4 linked regions of the Schizosaccharomyces pombe genome follow. The main gene of each other region encodes a partner of the protein of the gene in region 4 in a complex. Each region holds a gene or a part of one and is shown on either strand. Other genes may lie near its edges. The genes, in order: SPOM_SPBC3H7.04, rsm18, rsm25 and snr1.

Region 1 (4,181 bases), 1.1 Mb from region 4:
TAAGCATTTTGTCATTTTCTTTTATCATTATTGTCTTTTTTTCATATTTTTGTCGGTTGACTGATTGATTGTAAATAAAGTCTCATAGTTATATAGAGTGTGGTTTGCCTTTTCTTATTGTTTCGCCTTGTCTTGTCTTGTCTCGTCTAGTGTTGCTTGTATTGTCTTACCCTATCTGTTCTTTTTCTTCACTTTTGTTTTAACTGCGAATTTTCTTTCTTACTTTTTTGCTTTTCTTCCTTTCCTATTCCTCCACTATAAAGTTTTCGGCGTTTGATCATCTACGAACACGATCTAAAATTCAATTACTTTCATGTATCCATTTTCTTTCGATCCTTCTTCCAAACTTCCAGTCACAGGTATTTATAACATCCTTCTGTTCAATCTATTCCCTTTAGCTACATACCTTGTCGAAACCTTTTGTTTTTTTCGCCGGTGGAAAATCGCCTGCACTTTGTTATGTTCCATCACGGTTATACTGGCGTATCGCATGTGTGCTGTCTATCACCATGTTGGTTATAAGGATGTCTCTACATTTGGTTTGGCATATGGCTTTCTCATTATGATGTCGCTTCGAACTTGCTTTTTGAGTTGGCGAGATATGGTACCTTCTCGCAACGATCCTGTACAAATCAGCGCTGTTAAGCGTCGTCGACCATTCATTCGTAACGCTAGGTGGAACTTTGTTGATTATGCACTTTCTTTGCGCAAGTATGGTTGGACTGACGACGTGGTTCCCCCTTACTGTAGAAAAGTGCTGACTTACAAATCTTTGGGGATACGTACTGCTGTCTATGTGGGTGCATTTTGTTTTGTCAATTGTTTTAAAACTCGTTTATCCAATTGGATGTTGCTTCCTATATCAGCCAACCCATGGTATATTCAAGTCGCATTTTGCGTAACCTCTGGATTCTTTTCATATTTGTTTATTAATGCCTTGTACTATTTATTCGCCATTATTTTTGTTCCTCTGGGAATTTGGGATATTGCAGAGTATCCATTAATGATGGGAAATGTATCTAAAACCACCTCGGTTAATGATTTTTGGTCCAGAGATTGGCATGTTTGTACCAAGCCCTATTTCAGAGTGATTGCTTGGGATCCAACTATTGCCCTCACTGGAAGTAAGTTTCTGGCAAGTTGTTCATGTTTTTTCCTTTCAGCATTATTCCATGACTTTGCCTATTGGTCAATTTCTGGACGCTGTTCACCTGCTTTCTTTTTTCAGCTTTTAATTCAACCTTTCCTTATTAATCTTGAAAAAAGGATTCCCCTCTTGCGCAAATATCATTATTGGGTCCTAATAATCGAAATGCTTATTAATGGAACATATGGTATGGGAGTCGTATTATTAAAATTTAAGTGGAAAACATGCTCGCAAATTTAATTTACTGTTTAATGTCTATGTTTGACCTTCCGAAACCTCTAAAGTATCAGATAATTGCTATGTGTCCTAGTTTATACATTTAATGGATGGTTCAACTAAATTAACTTTTCCGTAGATATTGTTGGAATGTTAAATAATATATAGAGGGAAACATTACATTTAGCATTCTAATTCTCATTCTTTGCCAACAGTAATTACAAAACTTTATTTATTTATAAGATTTGTTAATAGTATGGGTTTTTTCAATCAGATAAAGTGAACCCATAGTAAGCCACCATGATCACTTGCATACAAAACGTAGCCGGGAGAGGAGGGGAGAGAAGTAGAAAAAGATTGAAAATTGTGCAGGATTCAGTCGGGTTAGCTAAAGGGATTCAATGCGCGTAGCTTGGAATCTATTGTTGACGACCGTCCAATTGATCATATCCCACCATTTTGTAATGTACATTTTTTTACCATTTAAACCATAGTCGTCAAGATACGCATATTGCCAAAGGTTAACGCATAAAAGCGGTACAATTGCATTGGTACGAAACTTAGGAAATCCTGTTCCCCAAAGAAAGGCATTTGACGCATTGTACGTGCATAATAAGGAAAATAAAGATTTTTCTGGACTATATACCAACCACAGCCAACCATCACCAAAAACTGAATTGCCAACGTCAACCATTTGAGACTTCAACTCACCAAATGAACCGAAGGATGCATCAATTCCAGGCTTTAGGTTGATAGCTCCTAAATCTGCATCTGCAGAGGGCCGTTCTGGAGAAATAAGGCCGGAAAAGAAAAAATCATGATTTACCAATTGGCTAGAGTAATTGAATAAATTAGCGCGGGCTGGGTCACTAGCGCTTTGAACCATTAAATCTGAAGGCACACGATACGGAGTTTGATGAATTTTACATTCTTTTTGTACTAGGCCTCGTAAGTGGTTGTCATAAGCAAAGATATTCCTGACCGCATCTTTTGACAAAAAATTCTTGTAGCCCACGTCCAACGCTCTGGCGAAGCGCTGTTGAAAACTCATTTGTTAAATTGAGGTAATAGTTAGGGAATGGGTATAAAAAACTGCAATGGAAATCAAGTATGCGGGTTTAAATTTTGTAATCCTAAGAAATTGGCAAAGACGACCAAACTGTATAATTAATTCATTAAGTATTAACAAAATATGAAAATCAAATAGTGTAGATGCTACGTTTTTGAATGTTTGAAATATTTCAACTTCAATATTGGTAAAGGCGTTCCACTCAGACCGCTCAGAGAGAGGTAAGCAGCCCTACTGGCGCAAGTAAAATATCGGTATGAAAGTTCTGCATTCCTTGTTGCGATATATACCATTATACCACTATATAAATTTTTGAAGTTGAATTAACAGAAATCTAAAACTTCGTTGAAACTTAACTAGTATTACAATGAATTTGTTAACAAGTTTCCCAAAAAAAATTGTGAAAGTAATCTTAAAGCGTTCAACGGGTTTAAACGGTGGATTATAAAAGCCTTTATTCCCAATATGACCATGATTCAATTTAAAAGTAAGCTGTATGACTCATTTTCAATCAAATTTACTTCGTCTTTTATAAGAAGATTCATTGACTTGAGAAGAAGAAAAATAACTTTAATATTCGAATGATCACAACTTTTATGTGAAAGAACTGTAAATATGTTAAACGTTTATAAATGACAATTGTGGCCGTTTGGTCTAGTGGTATGATACCATCTTAGGGTGATGGTGGTCGTGGGTTCGATTCCCACAACAGCCCGATTTTTTTTTTTGTCTCAGTAATTCAAGAGACCCTCAAATTTTTTATGTAACCGTTTAGATTGCAGCCTAATTGTTCAAAAGCTTACTCAAATTTGATCTAAACATTCGTGATTAATCGTTTATGAAACCATACGCTAACGATTAATTAGGAATTGATACAGGTTCATAACACCGTTCATGGATTGGAAACATCTACCATTTATTTTTAGTTTTAGTTAACTAAAATTGTAAGTGCACTGCATTTTTTTCGAAGCTTCATTTCTTTCATCGTTCAAAAAGCTGCTTTGGCAATAAAAAAAAGTTTAAGGTTATTTTTAGCCGAGGCTACTGGGATTGTTTCATATGCTTACAAGCGAAATAGGGAATAACTAGCTGCATACAAATGTTTTTGAAGAATACCTACCATTGGGGCTGAGCTAGAAGAAATATGGGATTTGAGACAAAAAGATTACTACTATATTAAGGAAGAACTGCTGAAACTTAGACGGAATAACCCAAGTATGCATACATGCTGCCAAGCCCGGTCTTGTTGCAATTTCAGGCTCTACACAACAGTAACAAGTGATTTATGGATTACGGATACTTTTTTTAAATTTAATATTATCTGGTTATAGTTAAAATAGAAGATTGTTTCACTATCCACTAGTTTTGGATTACATGCCATTAGTGATCAGGGCTATAAGCGAATAATTTTCAACGTTTCATCTGACCCTGGTACAATTTTTTCAGTAAGTCACATATTTATTTATTTTTATCCAAAATAAGAGCTAGATGCGTATTTTTTACAGGCCATGCCACAGTCTTTTTTAATTGCTAATGTATTAGACTGTGTCAATGGTACGAGACATTACTAACGAGTAAAGGTAATTTCTTCTATAGGATAGATTAAATATACCACCTAGAATTAGCGATGATTTTTACACAAACTCAGCATGTCTGTTTTGTAATTACCAATCCGTTTAATTTATTTGATGTGCGCTCAAAAGATATATAACAATAATCAAGGACAAGAAGCATGAATAATTGATGACA
Region 2 (3,910 bases), on a different chromosome or scaffold from region 4:
GGTCTTTTATCCAAGCAACATCGTCCGCGAAAGAATATTAACTTTACACCTCTCCCTCCTAGTACTCCTTCAAAACCCTCTACCTTTGTTCGTCCACATTCTTCCTCCACAGATTCGCCTCCATCACCCTCGACTCCTTCCAATACACAAACCGACTCTTATTTTATTCAACGGGAAAACACTCCTACAAATCACAATTCCATTCCTACTATTCAGTTGGAGAAAAGTTCCATGGACTTTTTGAGGTTCGATCCTCCTCCTTCTGCTGTAAAAACTTCTCACAACTATGGATTACCATTTCTATCTAATCAGAGGTGTCCCGCTACGCCTACTCGTAACCCATTTGCGTTTGAAAATACTGTTTCCATTCACATGGACGGTCGGCAACCTTCGCCTATCAAATCGAGAAATAATAATCAAATGTCATTTGCCATGGAGGAAGAAGCTGATGTATCTCAACCCTCTTCTTCAAGCTTTACATTATCCTTTCCTTCTGCTCTCACCTCGTCCAAAGTATCATCATCTACTTCACATTTGCTTACACGGTTTAGAAATGTTACTTTACTAGGAAGTGGAGAGTTTAGTGAGGTTTTTCAAGTTGAAGACCCTGTGGAAAAAACTTTAAAGTATGCAGTGAAAAAGCTCAAGGTAAAGTTTAGTGGACCAAAAGAACGTAATCGACTACTTCAGGAAGTCTCTATTCAACGAGCCCTTAAAGGCCATGATCACATTGTAGAGCTTATGGACTCATGGGAACATGGGGGGTTTCTTTATATGCAAGTCGAATTGTGTGAAAATGGTAGTTTGGATCGTTTTCTTGAAGAGCAAGGACAACTTTCAAGGCTCGATGAATTTAGGGTATGGAAAATATTAGTAGAAGTAGCTCTTGGGCTACAGTTTATTCATCATAAAAATTATGTTCATTTGGATTTAAAGCCTGCTAATGTTATGATAACATTCGAGGGTACCTTGAAGATTGGTGATTTTGGAATGGCCAGTGTTTGGCCTGTTCCGAGAGGCATGGAAAGAGAAGGTGATTGTGAATACATTGCGCCTGAGGTTCTTGCTAACCATTTGTATGATAAACCTGCTGATATTTTCAGTTTGGGTATCACAGTCTTCGAAGCTGCTGCTAACATTGTTCTTCCTGATAACGGTCAGTCTTGGCAGAAATTACGTTCCGGTGACTTATCAGATGCTCCTCGACTTTCTTCAACAGACAACGGTTCATCTCTTACTTCTTCTTCTCGTGAAACACCGGCTAATAGTATAATAGGCCAAGGGGGACTTGATCGCGTTGTAGAGTGGATGCTATCTCCAGAGCCTAGGAACCGACCTACCATAGATCAAATTTTGGCAACTGATGAGGTTTGCTGGGTTGAAATGCGTAGAAAAGCCGGAGCCATAATTTATGAAGGTATTCATGGATCTTCTTCTAACCCCCAGGGTGATCAAATGATGGAAGATTGGCAGGTGAATGTTTAAACCTTTTAGAGACTCTTGTTCTCAATGTTTATTACTGCGAAATTGCGAAATAAGGGAATGGCTTCCAAAATCTGTTTAGCTTCATAAAAGCAAACACTTTAATTATTTTTAAACGAAAAGTTTAGTGATTGGTGCTTATAATTAATTTTGGTTCATTAAATGCTTTTTTTTTATTTAAGGATACGTGTCCGTTTTAACCGAACCCTTAAATTTTAAAAAATTTTAAAAAATTATTAGATGATAGTTTTTCTATTTAATTTTTTGCCTTTTCACCGGATTATCTATTTGGTTTTCTTCAGTCAAATATCCGGTTAATTATATCTGAGGCAATATGATGATGGCTATGGAAACATGCCATTCAGTTCTTGATATGGGGAACTAGAATGTTTCCTTAATTTAAAGCCTTGACGCCGCACATACTGTACGTGCTTTGTCTACTGAAAAAATGTTAGTGAACGATTGTTTTTTATATCGCAAATCCTTTCTCTAACATGTAGACTCGGCTTCAGAGGAGTTATTATTCCTATTTTTCATCTATTTTATTGTCTAATTTCTTATGTCACTCGTTTGTTATCGACTTGATATGTTGCATTTACTCATCTTTGCTAGCATAAAGTTCGAATCCCGACTGTTTATCCACTTTTTTTTGACTTCTGTTTTCATAATAATTTAGATCGATCGATGACACTGCCTATTATTCTTGTACATAGTTTACGATCTTGCTGAATGGCAAATAATTGGTTATGTTTATGGAAAATGCCACGATTTACTAACGAAGTTTAATAACCCGTTAGATTTTTTATTATTATCATATCATATAATAATTAGTAATAATGTTAACGTTATGCTTAGTTCCACTTCTGTAATTTTTAATTTCCCTTTTTTTTTATGCTTGTGAAAGCTGTGTATATGCTCAAGTTTGTGATGCCTTCAAATTAGTATAGGATTTTAATGACCCGTTTAACACTTCATATCTAAATAAACATTTATTTTGAAACAGAAAAGTTAGAAAATTCAGGTATCATCACGTTTTCATTTATCAGACACAAGCATAAGCTATAAACTATTTAACGAGTGTCTCATTATTTCACTAAACACCTTCAAACATTGAAATATTACTTTGACAACAGCACGGGAGAAAAATGCTTGGGAGACGAATATTTTCTCCAGCTCCAAACAGAGGATTTATTTTATGCAATCTCATACAATCTAATAACTCTACGCGAAGAGGGTTTTCGGACAATCGAAAATTTAATGAGAGAAATTCTGAAGCATCTTCAAATGTAGGATTTCAGAGAAGAGTTCGCTCAAATATTCCATCATATTTATCAGCCTCCGTAGAAGAAGGTGATATTTACTCTCCCAATGATTTACTGTTTGAAACGGTAAAGGCGAAAAATCAAGCCAAATTCTATGAACCAGTAAGAGAAGATTGCTTTAAGACGGTGAACGAAAACCCTATGAATTATTGGAAAAACCCCGTAATATTGTCAAGATTCGTTACTGAACTTGGTCGTATTAAACCCAGAGGTGATACTGGCCTAACAGCAAAAAATCAACGACTTCTTTCTAGGGCTATCCGAAGGGCTCGAGCTGCTGGTATAATGCCGACGAAATACAAATCAGTTTATTCGGAAAATTAAATTGTACTGAATATTAACAAGGACGTTCTATATCTCATTTCATCACATTGGTAGATATACTTACCCACTGTCCCTTACTTTTTTTTTCTTAAGGAACGATAAACGATCTACTTTACTTTTTAAATGATTAGCTCACGTTAATTAATATTTCAGGTGTACTTTGGTTTTGAATAGTCTTTTTTGGATTAAAATATACATGACACAAAATCATAAACCGCTGCTAATATTAGTGGCTAACATTTTTTAATGGCTTTAAAAATATAATATCTTTGTTATCTTTAATTTTTAATTTAGCTTGATTGAACTTTTTTGTAGGAGGAGCGTTAGTCGATACAATGTATTAAAAAAATTATCTAGTAGTAGTTATTTTACTTATCTAAAGAGGACAGAGAGGGAAGAACAAATAATTATATGCAAAAGAAGAAAAAATCCATCTAGAAAAGAATTGGGTTTTATAGAACGATATTAAAACGATGAGTGCATCATGGAGCTAGTTCAAAATATATGCAATAGGGCTTTTCATGAAGGTATATGAGATAAAAGAACAGAAGTTAAATCAGCTTGTGGTATGTAATTCTCCGACTTTAACGAAATTAGAGATCCTGAGAACTTAGAAGAATGACCTAAAGCTGTAAATAGCTGAGCACTCTTATAGGGATCTGAACTCTTTTTATGAACCCTTTGAATGGCCCACTCGATTGAATATAAAGCTTCGTGAATGGCTTGCAAAGGTGGTATATTACAAGCCAGATTCGATGCAATGGCAGCTGTAAGAGAGCAAC
Region 3 (4,234 bases), 1.3 Mb from region 4:
CGCAATTGCCCAATAAAATCATGCTCCACCCTGTTCCGCAAGACGAAATAAAACCTCGACCTAAGAAAGGAAGGTAAATGATGGTAATTTTTAGAGTCTACATAGGTGAGATGGTGACCAATCCTGTTGAGGCATGAGTTTGGTTTTTTTGATATGTATCTTAACTTTTTGTTTGGGAAAAAAAGTGGCATTTCGTGATTCATGACTAAAATCAATTACTGGCAATCGTTTAATATTAGAAAAATTTTTCCTTTCCTGACAAAAAGTGTTATGGGTATAGACGCTATCATCTTCTTATCTATGTTGGCTGCTCAATAAATGATGAACTTTTTTTAAAGCACTTTTAAAAGTTTGGAGCGAAAGTTCGCTAGCTGGCTAAACGGCAGTGTCATCTGAAAAGCTTGCTATAGCTTTGAATAATATTTATAATATATATATATGTATTCAAATAGATGGTAGAAATTTAATGTGTTCTGATAGATTGTTTTAATTTGAAGACATAAAGAGATGAAAAATATCTGTTTTATTTTTGAAAGGGGATAGTACTAAGAAAATTCTGAAAAAAAAAAAAACAAAACAAAAATCAATTTTTGAGGAGACAATATGATATATCAGCTGTGAATTTAAATACTACTGAGTCGTCTTAGAGATATCTACACTCGGGTCTGTGAACTTTGTACGATTAGCCTCAGCGTATTGTGAAGCATTATCAAACCAAGAATTTAAAGCATTTTGATCCATTTCATAGCCCAACTCCAGATCAGATTTTGTAAATACAGCACCCAATGCTTGAGCCTGATCATGGGCAACGCGTTGCTGAATTTCTTGTTCAGCGCGTAGGTGATAAAATTCCTTTCTTGCTTGATCATAAGCATTTTCTACAGGCATGTTAGAGTTTTCAATCAGCCATAAAGTTCTTTGCACTACACTCTCGCCAGATAATGCTTTGCGCGGTTGATCCATGTGACTCCAATCACAATATTGCTGATCATTACCGTCATTTTCTGCAATGATTTGAGGCCTTGCTAGTTCCCAAGGATGATCTCGATAAAACCTTTTACGGAGTTTATCTTCTGGCCATTGAATTTCCTGAGGCTGATACATTGATTTTCGTAACCGTTTACCACGGGATTTTACCTTATTTGGATCGTACAATGGTACAATACGTCTAGCATATTGAAAGGTTGGGGGATGTTTAGCAACCGTTTCGTACCATAAAGACTCTGCTGTCCATGGCTTTTTCATTTCAGCTGCAAAGCTGCGTAGCAAACCATTTGCATTAAATTTCGGCATTGGATCTTCCTCCTGAAAAAGTTATTAAATAGTATATTAGTAAAATAATCAGTAATAGAAACGTGAAAATGGAAGTAAGGATTGAATAATGATTGAGATGGGTTAATTATGCAAAACACATCCACGGCGCTATAAATAATGGAGAGTATGACTTGAGGTAATAAACAATCGCTTATATGGATAGTCTGCTAAAAAAGTGAATTATAAGCGCAAGAAACCAACTTTTTTGGTGAAAATGGCTTCCAAGAGGAATTGGGCTGGCCAAGCTAGTGTTAGCTGACGGTACTAGTGTGCCTCATCTTAGTAGCTACTGAGTATAACCTAATGGTAAGATATTATGAATATTTATTTCAGAACACACAAGGATACGAACACTATTAATGAAATAGTTATTTATAAATTTAAACACATCTATTGCCTTTTTTTTGCTAAGATATGGCTTGTTTGTAAATTCGGAATTTAAACTAAGCGATTGTTCATCTAAATTAATTTTATGGATTGAAAGTCCCTATTATTTTTTAGATATTTTTTTTATAATTGCTAAAGGTATATAGAGTTTATTGCCTTTATTTTTTTATATTTTTTTATCAATCGTTAACGCCATAGGAAAGCAAGTTAAACTGCTTAAAAATTTTTTAATACTTAAAAATTTTTTGTTATGGAATAAACTTTTTTTTTTTTATACTTTTAATTTTCACTGATTTCATTAAATATTTACCGGCAGCCGTTAGAATTATTAATAACAATGGTTCAAAAAACTCCAAAAAAATTTTAAGATTAATTAGACAAAATCAATTATATGTTTCGTAAAGCAAATTAAATGGCTGTACTGTATTTGTGAAGCTGTATGCGTATTTGCTAATTTGATTTTGTCATAAACTGACTGAGTAAATTAGCGCAGCAAATGCCGCTACACCTAGCATGTTCTGAAGTGAAAATGAAGTGCTGCAAATATTTAAAGCCATTGATCGTACAGTATTATTATGAATGGACATCAACTACTTGAATTCTTGCCTGCTCATACATTTTTAGCAGTTATTTTCATTTCTTCACTTATAACGCAGTCATATTTATACTCCGTATTTGATTTTACCTGCTAGCTGGCAATCTCAATGCTAGAATACGATATTCGCTTCTGGATGATGAGTGTTATATAACCTAGGTAAGGTTAATCTGTAGCTTATAACGAAGAAGTAAGGTAAATAGACTACACTTGTGTTCTTTGACGAAAGTGTATTCGATGATATTGTAAATGCTGATTAAATACTAATGAGTCAACAAACGTGCCTAAATGCTGGTTGCATTCAATGCCATTCCTATATATGATGATGGCCGATTGATCGTTATTCATTAGCGATTCTTAAGAGGATCGATGAATGATAGTTTAATAGTTTAGAGGGATATTCTGCATTTAATTATATTAAGGGACCTCTTTTTTACTCATGAATGTTCTTTCCATGTTTACACAATAACGAGCTATTATAACAAAATAACGTAAATAAACTATAGCGATGGTTTCCGTTAATTCACTAACGCTGCCTGTTAATGAGGAAATAGCAATCTTAGGTTTTGCTTAGAACCCAACTTCGCAACGTTGGAAGGTTTGCTCAGTTAGCTGTATTTATACCACCTTCTGTTTTTTGGAAACCTTGGATGAAATGTTTAGATGCATTATTGAGCCTTTTCGCACAGTTTAATGTTTGAATTATCGCATCATATAGAAAGGGAACGGAAGTATATGCATCATCTCGTATCGAGTTCTCGTTTTCTTTTTTTATCAAGTACCCCCTTCTCTCATTAATAGTGATCCTTTTAATTTGATTATCGTTTCTTTTCTTCATAACGCGTCTTTTCGTTTCCACGCCTCTCGTTTTGGGGACGACTTTTGTCTGCTTGCCAGGCTAAGAGATGCGAAATTGTGTATCTCCACTACTTTTTGCATGGACAAAACATTTACGTTTAAGGGAATTTAAAATCCCTTTCCCAAATCGTCTTGTTGTGCGGTCACTAAACCAGCTTAGCGTTCATCATGAAAAGGTAACTGGGTGCAGGCCTCGACAAGCGTCTTCTGATGAATTACATAAATACTCGAAATCTGCTTCAAACGAAGCATTTCTCTCAAGTTTTGCAGAAAATCAATTATTTCACAAGTGTTTGCCTTCCAGCGCAGGTGCTGTTCTTAGTGAAAACGATTTAATGTACATTATCCGAAAAGTCAGTGAAGTCTATGCTGATAATAAAACTGAAAAGGTTACTGTGCCTTTTGACAAACATAAAAACCCATTCCTAATTTACGTGAAAAAACGGTTTGCCGAATGTTTTGATAAAAATCCTGATCTTTGCCTCATTGTGTATTCAAAACTGGAGGTTGAAACGTTGGCAAAAATAACTCCCATTTGGATTAATGTCGCCAAAAAAAATAAAAAAGAAGATTTTCTTGTTGAACTCTGCCTCCGTTTTTTAGAACGATTCCGTTCATGCAATTTGACTGAACAAGCAATCTTATATCAAAATTTTCGAGAAAACTGGTGGAGTAACATTAAGTTACCCCAAAATCTCAAAAGTCTGTACGTTGAATTGTGTTTGGTGTATCATTTCCATAATTCCCATCTTGGGATGGATTCCTCTACAGTCTCTAATTTAAAACGCTTCTGCTTCTCAGAGTCATTAGGTCATATATTTGCTCCTTTGAGATTCCAAAATCAACAGCTTCCTTTGCAACACGTTTATGCGTTTTTGTTTTCCATAGCATATCGTGATAACCAAGTTGATACTGCTCATTTTCTTTATAAACAGTGGTCTCGTGCAGGCATGGGACCATTGCCAAAAGATGCATTTATAAAATTTGTACAATTACTCTCAAAAAACCGTAATTGGGTTTTAATGCGCGATATTGTTCAGCTGGAAGAATACAATAGTTATCTTCTCGACCATCGAATAG
Region 4 (4,534 bases):
TTTATTTCATGCTTTATTACTTATCATTAATCTTGTACTTTAATTTAATTTTTCATAGTTATTAATCTTTAATTAGTGTTTATGAGGCGATCTTTGAAGTCTCTCTTTTGTTTTTAGAATTAGCATTTTTTTCAAACAAGTAATTGCCAACTAACATAAAAATATTAATAAATTCATACATTTCAATTAACATCTGGTGAGCCAAGAGTGAGTTGTAGAATAATATTTAATGCTCATAATACCTATTCCACATCTATGTCATTCAAAATGTTAGACATCCAGTGGGGATGTGGCCATACACGAGCTATAACTTTAGCCTTAATAAGGCCCATTGGAACAGGTCCGTAATTTCGACTATCAAGTGAGTGAGCAATGTTATCTCCTGCAAGCCAAACATGACCTAAAGGTATAGTTATTTTTTTATTTGAAGAGGTGGGATCGACATAAATTGTATCTCCTGGCTATAAAATTAGTACAAAAAGGATAACGTTCCATGTGAAATACTCACCATTCCAATGATTCGTTTGCACACGTGTTGCTTTGAATCGGAAGGTTTTGCCGAAACAACAACATCTCCTACAGAACATGAACGAGCAAACCTACCATGCAATTTATCTAACAAAACGAATTCACCACTTTTTAAGTTAGAACCATAAATACAAAGCGTTATTTCAATACCCAGAATTTAATGTTGGCATCATACTTGGACCCGATGTCATTTGCACTTGAAAAAGATACTCATGAATTTGATGCACAAATGCAGCAATCTGAACGACGGCAATAGGAATACGGAACATGCCAGCCATTGTTAACCAAGAGGTAACTAATCAAGACAGTAAACTAAATAAGCCGAAATTAAAAAATTTAAACACGACAAGAGAAAGGATTGAAAAAAGAATTAATGATTGTGGATTATAATGTTTCCGTAACTACCAAAATCGGAAAATGTAGATTCATGAAATTCAAAAACAATTGAAAGATATGCGTTTATTTCATATCATAGAGATAAAGACGGTTCAGGTTTTGATTTCGTAAAAGAACTACTATTTGCATCAACATAAGCAGTCAGGGAAGCAGGTTGATCCATATCACTTAGTGTATTTCGTTGAGCAAACTTCTCTACAATTAACGACATGGCTTCAGAATCAATAAATAGTTTACCGAATTTTAGTGCATCTCGAACCTGAAACTCACCAACAGGAATAAAGGAGCAATGGTAGCCTAACTGTCTAGATGCAAGCAATAAATTATTATTTTTAAGGGACTCATCTTCAAAGTAATTATCGTTAAGGACAAAAAGTGCCTTCCCGTACTCGTGTCCTAACTTGTGTTGCTTCAAAACTTCAAGCAAAATCCGTGTTTTTGGTTGACTTAAGTTGATGGGATTTTCAAGGATGGTCAGTTCATTATTAATAAATCTTGTACTTAGCGCAATCCTCATTGCTAAATTATAAACTTGGGTTTGTAATTTTGTACTGAAATCTCTAGGCTTAGGACCATGTGATTTAGCACCACCTCTTCTTATAGGACTTGAGGCATCGCCTACCCGTGCATGTCCTGTACCTTTTTGTCGATAAAGTTTTCGACCGGAACAAGTAATTTCATTTCGGCGCTTTGAGCTAGCAGTGCCTTGACGGTCATTATCTGCTTCATAAATAACGGCACGATGCAAAATATCTCGACGAAATCTTTCTTGCAGGAAACTTCCGGGAATAAGAAAAAGACTCGCGGGCTCCAACGACGGAAATTTATATCGCACCAAGTGCAACATTTTTGCTGTCATTCTGATTAGTTTGTGAAATGGACGACTAGTACCTGAAGAATGGATGTATTTTACTTTCAATTAGTCTAACACAATGTACTAAGTATCACAATGCATTTCATTATAACATATTGTGCATTCAAAAGTATCGTAAAGCGTAAAGTATCGAGTTCATTAAATTACGTTGTTTTATGCAACAGGAACTTTATGACTGTATACTGTTAGATAAATTAATGATATCTCATTCATTACCTAAAATAGAAGAAATAATTATTTATACTATGTGATGTCGTACATTAAATATTTGGAATTTGCTCATTCTGACACCTTAAATTGTTGTTGCAAATAGCACCTGTGTATTACAATAACAGTTTTGAGTACTCAATGCTATGCAACAAGTGGTTTAAGACTTTTAAAATCGACAAACCCTGAGAAACTAAATTAATACTAAATATAGATTTTTTGAGACAAGTATTTGCCCAGCTAATGCATGGAAACCTACTTTGTTTTACGAATGGTCTTTTGTGATTTGTTATTAGTTCACAATTAAGAACACACTTCGTTATAAAGTAACGTAGAAGAGACGTTAACCGTCTATGCAAAAATAATCGGTGTTATTTAACTTGGTTAGCTTTCATGGGATTGAAATTAAATATCTCTAACGATTTGAAAAAATCTGGATTTATGTTAAGGCAATCCTTACTTAAAACAAGTGTGTCAAATTTCCTTTCTTTGAATGCAAGTAGCACCATGTCTAGAGCGTTTATTCGAAATCCAAAATTTTATAGCACTTCCTCAAATGATACAGTTTTATACGAGAGTAAAAATGGAGCAAGGATATTTACTTTAAACAGGCCAAAAGTATTGAACGCTATCAACGTTGACATGATAGATTCAATCCTACCAAAGCTAGTTTCATTAGAAGAATCAAATCTGGCCAAGGTAATTATTCTTAAAGGAAATGGTCGCTCTTTTAGTTCGGGAGGTGACATTAAAGCTGCAGCACTTTCAATACAAGATGGAAAATTACCTGAAGTTCGCCATGCATTTGCTCAAGAGTATCGATTAAGCCATACGTTAGCTACATACCAGAAACCAGTTGTGGCTTTGATGAATGGCATCACCATGGGAGGTGGATCTGGTTTGGCTATGCATGTTCCTTTCCGTATTGCGTGTGAAGATACGATGTTTGCTATGCCAGAAACCGGAATTGGCTATTTTACTGACGTGGCTGCCAGTTTCTTCTTCAGTAGACTACCAGGATACTTTGGAACTTATCTGGGATTGACATCTCAAATCGTAAAAGGATATGATTGCCTGCGTACTGGAATTGCAACTCATTTCGTTCCGAAGCATATGTTTCCTCATTTGGAGGACAGGCTTGCAGAGTTAAACACGTCTGATATTTCTAAAATCAATAATACAATCCTGGAATTTGCCGAATTTGCTAGCAGTTCACCACCCACTTTTACTCCAGACGTTATGGATGTCATTAATAAATGCTTCTGCAAAAATGATACCGTTGATATTATTCGTGCGTTAAAAGAATATGCTTCAAACACTAGTGCTTTAGCGGAATTTGCAAAATCTACCGTTAAAACATTGTATAGCAAATCTCCGACTTCAATTGCTGTTACCAATCGACTTATTAAGTCTGCTGCTAAGTGGAGTATATCTGAAGCATTTTACTATGATCATATCGTTTCCTATTATATGCTTAAACAGCCTGATTTTGTTGAAGGTGTTAATGCTCAACTTATTACAAAGACCAAAAATCCAAAATGGAGCAAATCCCATGAATATCACTTTAAAGATTTAGAAAACTATTTCAAGTTGCCTTCAGAATACAATAATGGGATATCTTTTGCTGCAAAAGGAAGACGTAAAACTCCCCTTTGGAATTATAAGACTTATCCTTATTTATAATCCCAAAGGTTACATAAATTAAATATTGTTCTTTATGTCTACTAAGTTTTTTCAGTATTATAATAAGATGATTTATTTCAAAGACCCTGTTATGTTTTAGCATGCGATAAAGCACATAACTCTTTTTAGCAGCTAAAAATAATGATAGCCATTTTAAATACTCATACTAAAACTCTTTTTCGGTAGCTGTGCGTACGATAGTTCAAAAAAAAGAATGCTAACGGCATTAATATATATTCCATAATTCCCATATTGGATCAAACAATGAGAAAATAATTGACAAAACTGCCAAACGCATACCCAAAATATATTTTTATTATTCCAATTGCTCACGGCCTTACCATAAGCTTTTCTAGCAAAAAAAATTATATGATAAACTAAAAAAGCATGCACTTATGGCATATATTTCTGTTTACTGATGTCTCAAGTATTTTCCTACGATGATACAGTGATCACGTTCGTAAGGCTCTAAAGTAAGTTGTTCTTGAGGTTTAATCTTTTCCTCTTGCATTTTCTTAACCTCACGAGCAAAAACAACAGCTGCATCAGCGGTAGAATCAATACAAGAAGCCTTAACAGAGATAACAACTCCACCTTCGTTTTTCAAAAAGGCGGCGGCGTTCAAAGCAACGATACGAGCCTGATCGGGTTGAGCAACGTCTGCAAAAACAACGTCAACCATTCCGACTAACATACGATACTTTTGAACATGGCGAGCATCCTCAACAATGGGGATGACATTCGTGCGCTTTTTAGCCATGTTAAGAAGATCACGTCCAGAACGATGAGAAAACTCAACAGCGTAGACAAGACCCTCAGGACCAACAACATCAGCAACGTGAGAAA

Evidence for each region.
Region 1: snr1 (region 4) and SPOM_SPBC3H7.04 share a complex: the UniProt entries of both Schizosaccharomyces pombe proteins name them as parts of the mitochondrial small ribosomal subunit.
Region 2: snr1 (region 4) and rsm18 share a complex: the UniProt entries of both Schizosaccharomyces pombe proteins name them as parts of the mitochondrial small ribosomal subunit.
Region 3: snr1 (region 4) and rsm25 share a complex: the UniProt entries of both Schizosaccharomyces pombe proteins name them as parts of the mitochondrial small ribosomal subunit.

What each region holds. Positions count from the first base shown.
Region 1 is NC_003423.3:1,874,146-1,878,326, forward strand, and holds SPOM_SPBC3H7.04 (mitochondrial 37S ribosomal protein mS42), read right to left. Parts: upstream 2,637-4,181; 5' UTR 2,415-2,636; coding exon 1,752-2,414; 3' UTR 1,509-1,751; downstream 1-1,508. Other genes in the region: SPOM_SPBC3H7.05C (uncharacterized protein), read left to right, coding at 314-1,387. UniProt on the Schizosaccharomyces pombe protein: Component of the mitochondrial ribosome (mitoribosome), a dedicated translation machinery responsible for the synthesis of mitochondrial genome-encoded proteins, including at least some of the essential transmembrane subunits of the mitochondrial respiratory chain.
Region 2 is NC_003421.2:723,383-727,292, forward strand, and holds rsm18 (mitochondrial 37S ribosomal protein bS18m), read left to right. Parts: upstream 1-2,607; 5' UTR 2,608-2,627; coding exon 2,628-3,128; 3' UTR 3,129-3,410; downstream 3,411-3,910. Other genes in the region: protein kinase Wee1, read left to right, coding at 1-1,485; SPOM_SPCC18B5.05C (phosphomethylpyrimidine kinase), read right to left, coding at 3,648-3,910. UniProt on the Schizosaccharomyces pombe protein: Component of the mitochondrial ribosome (mitoribosome), a dedicated translation machinery responsible for the synthesis of mitochondrial genome-encoded proteins, including at least some of the essential transmembrane subunits of the mitochondrial respiratory chain.
Region 3 is NC_003423.3:4,290,396-4,294,629, forward strand, and holds rsm25 (mitochondrial 37S ribosomal protein mS23), read right to left. Parts: upstream 1,568-4,234; 5' UTR 1,294-1,567; coding exon 631-1,293; 3' UTR 501-630; downstream 1-500. Other genes in the region: nucleoporin Rae1, read left to right, coding at 1-77; PPR repeat-containing protein Ppr7, read left to right, coding at 3,202-4,234. UniProt on the Schizosaccharomyces pombe protein: Component of the mitochondrial ribosome (mitoribosome), a dedicated translation machinery responsible for the synthesis of mitochondrial genome-encoded proteins, including at least some of the essential transmembrane subunits of the mitochondrial respiratory chain.
Region 4 is NC_003423.3:2,978,664-2,983,197, forward strand, and holds snr1 (mitochondrial 37S ribosomal protein mS47 ), read left to right. Parts: upstream 1-2,338; 5' UTR 2,339-2,398; coding exon 2,399-3,688; 3' UTR 3,689-3,777; downstream 3,778-4,534. Other genes in the region: mmp1 (endopeptidase catalytic subunit), read right to left, coding at 243-461, 509-635, 679-806; yml6 (mitochondrial 54S ribosomal protein uL4m), read right to left, coding at 998-1,783; fib1 (fibrillarin, rRNA and histone methyltransferase), read right to left, coding at 4,101-4,534. UniProt on the Schizosaccharomyces pombe protein: Component of the mitochondrial ribosome (mitoribosome), a dedicated translation machinery responsible for the synthesis of mitochondrial genome-encoded proteins, including at least some of the essential transmembrane subunits of the mitochondrial respiratory chain.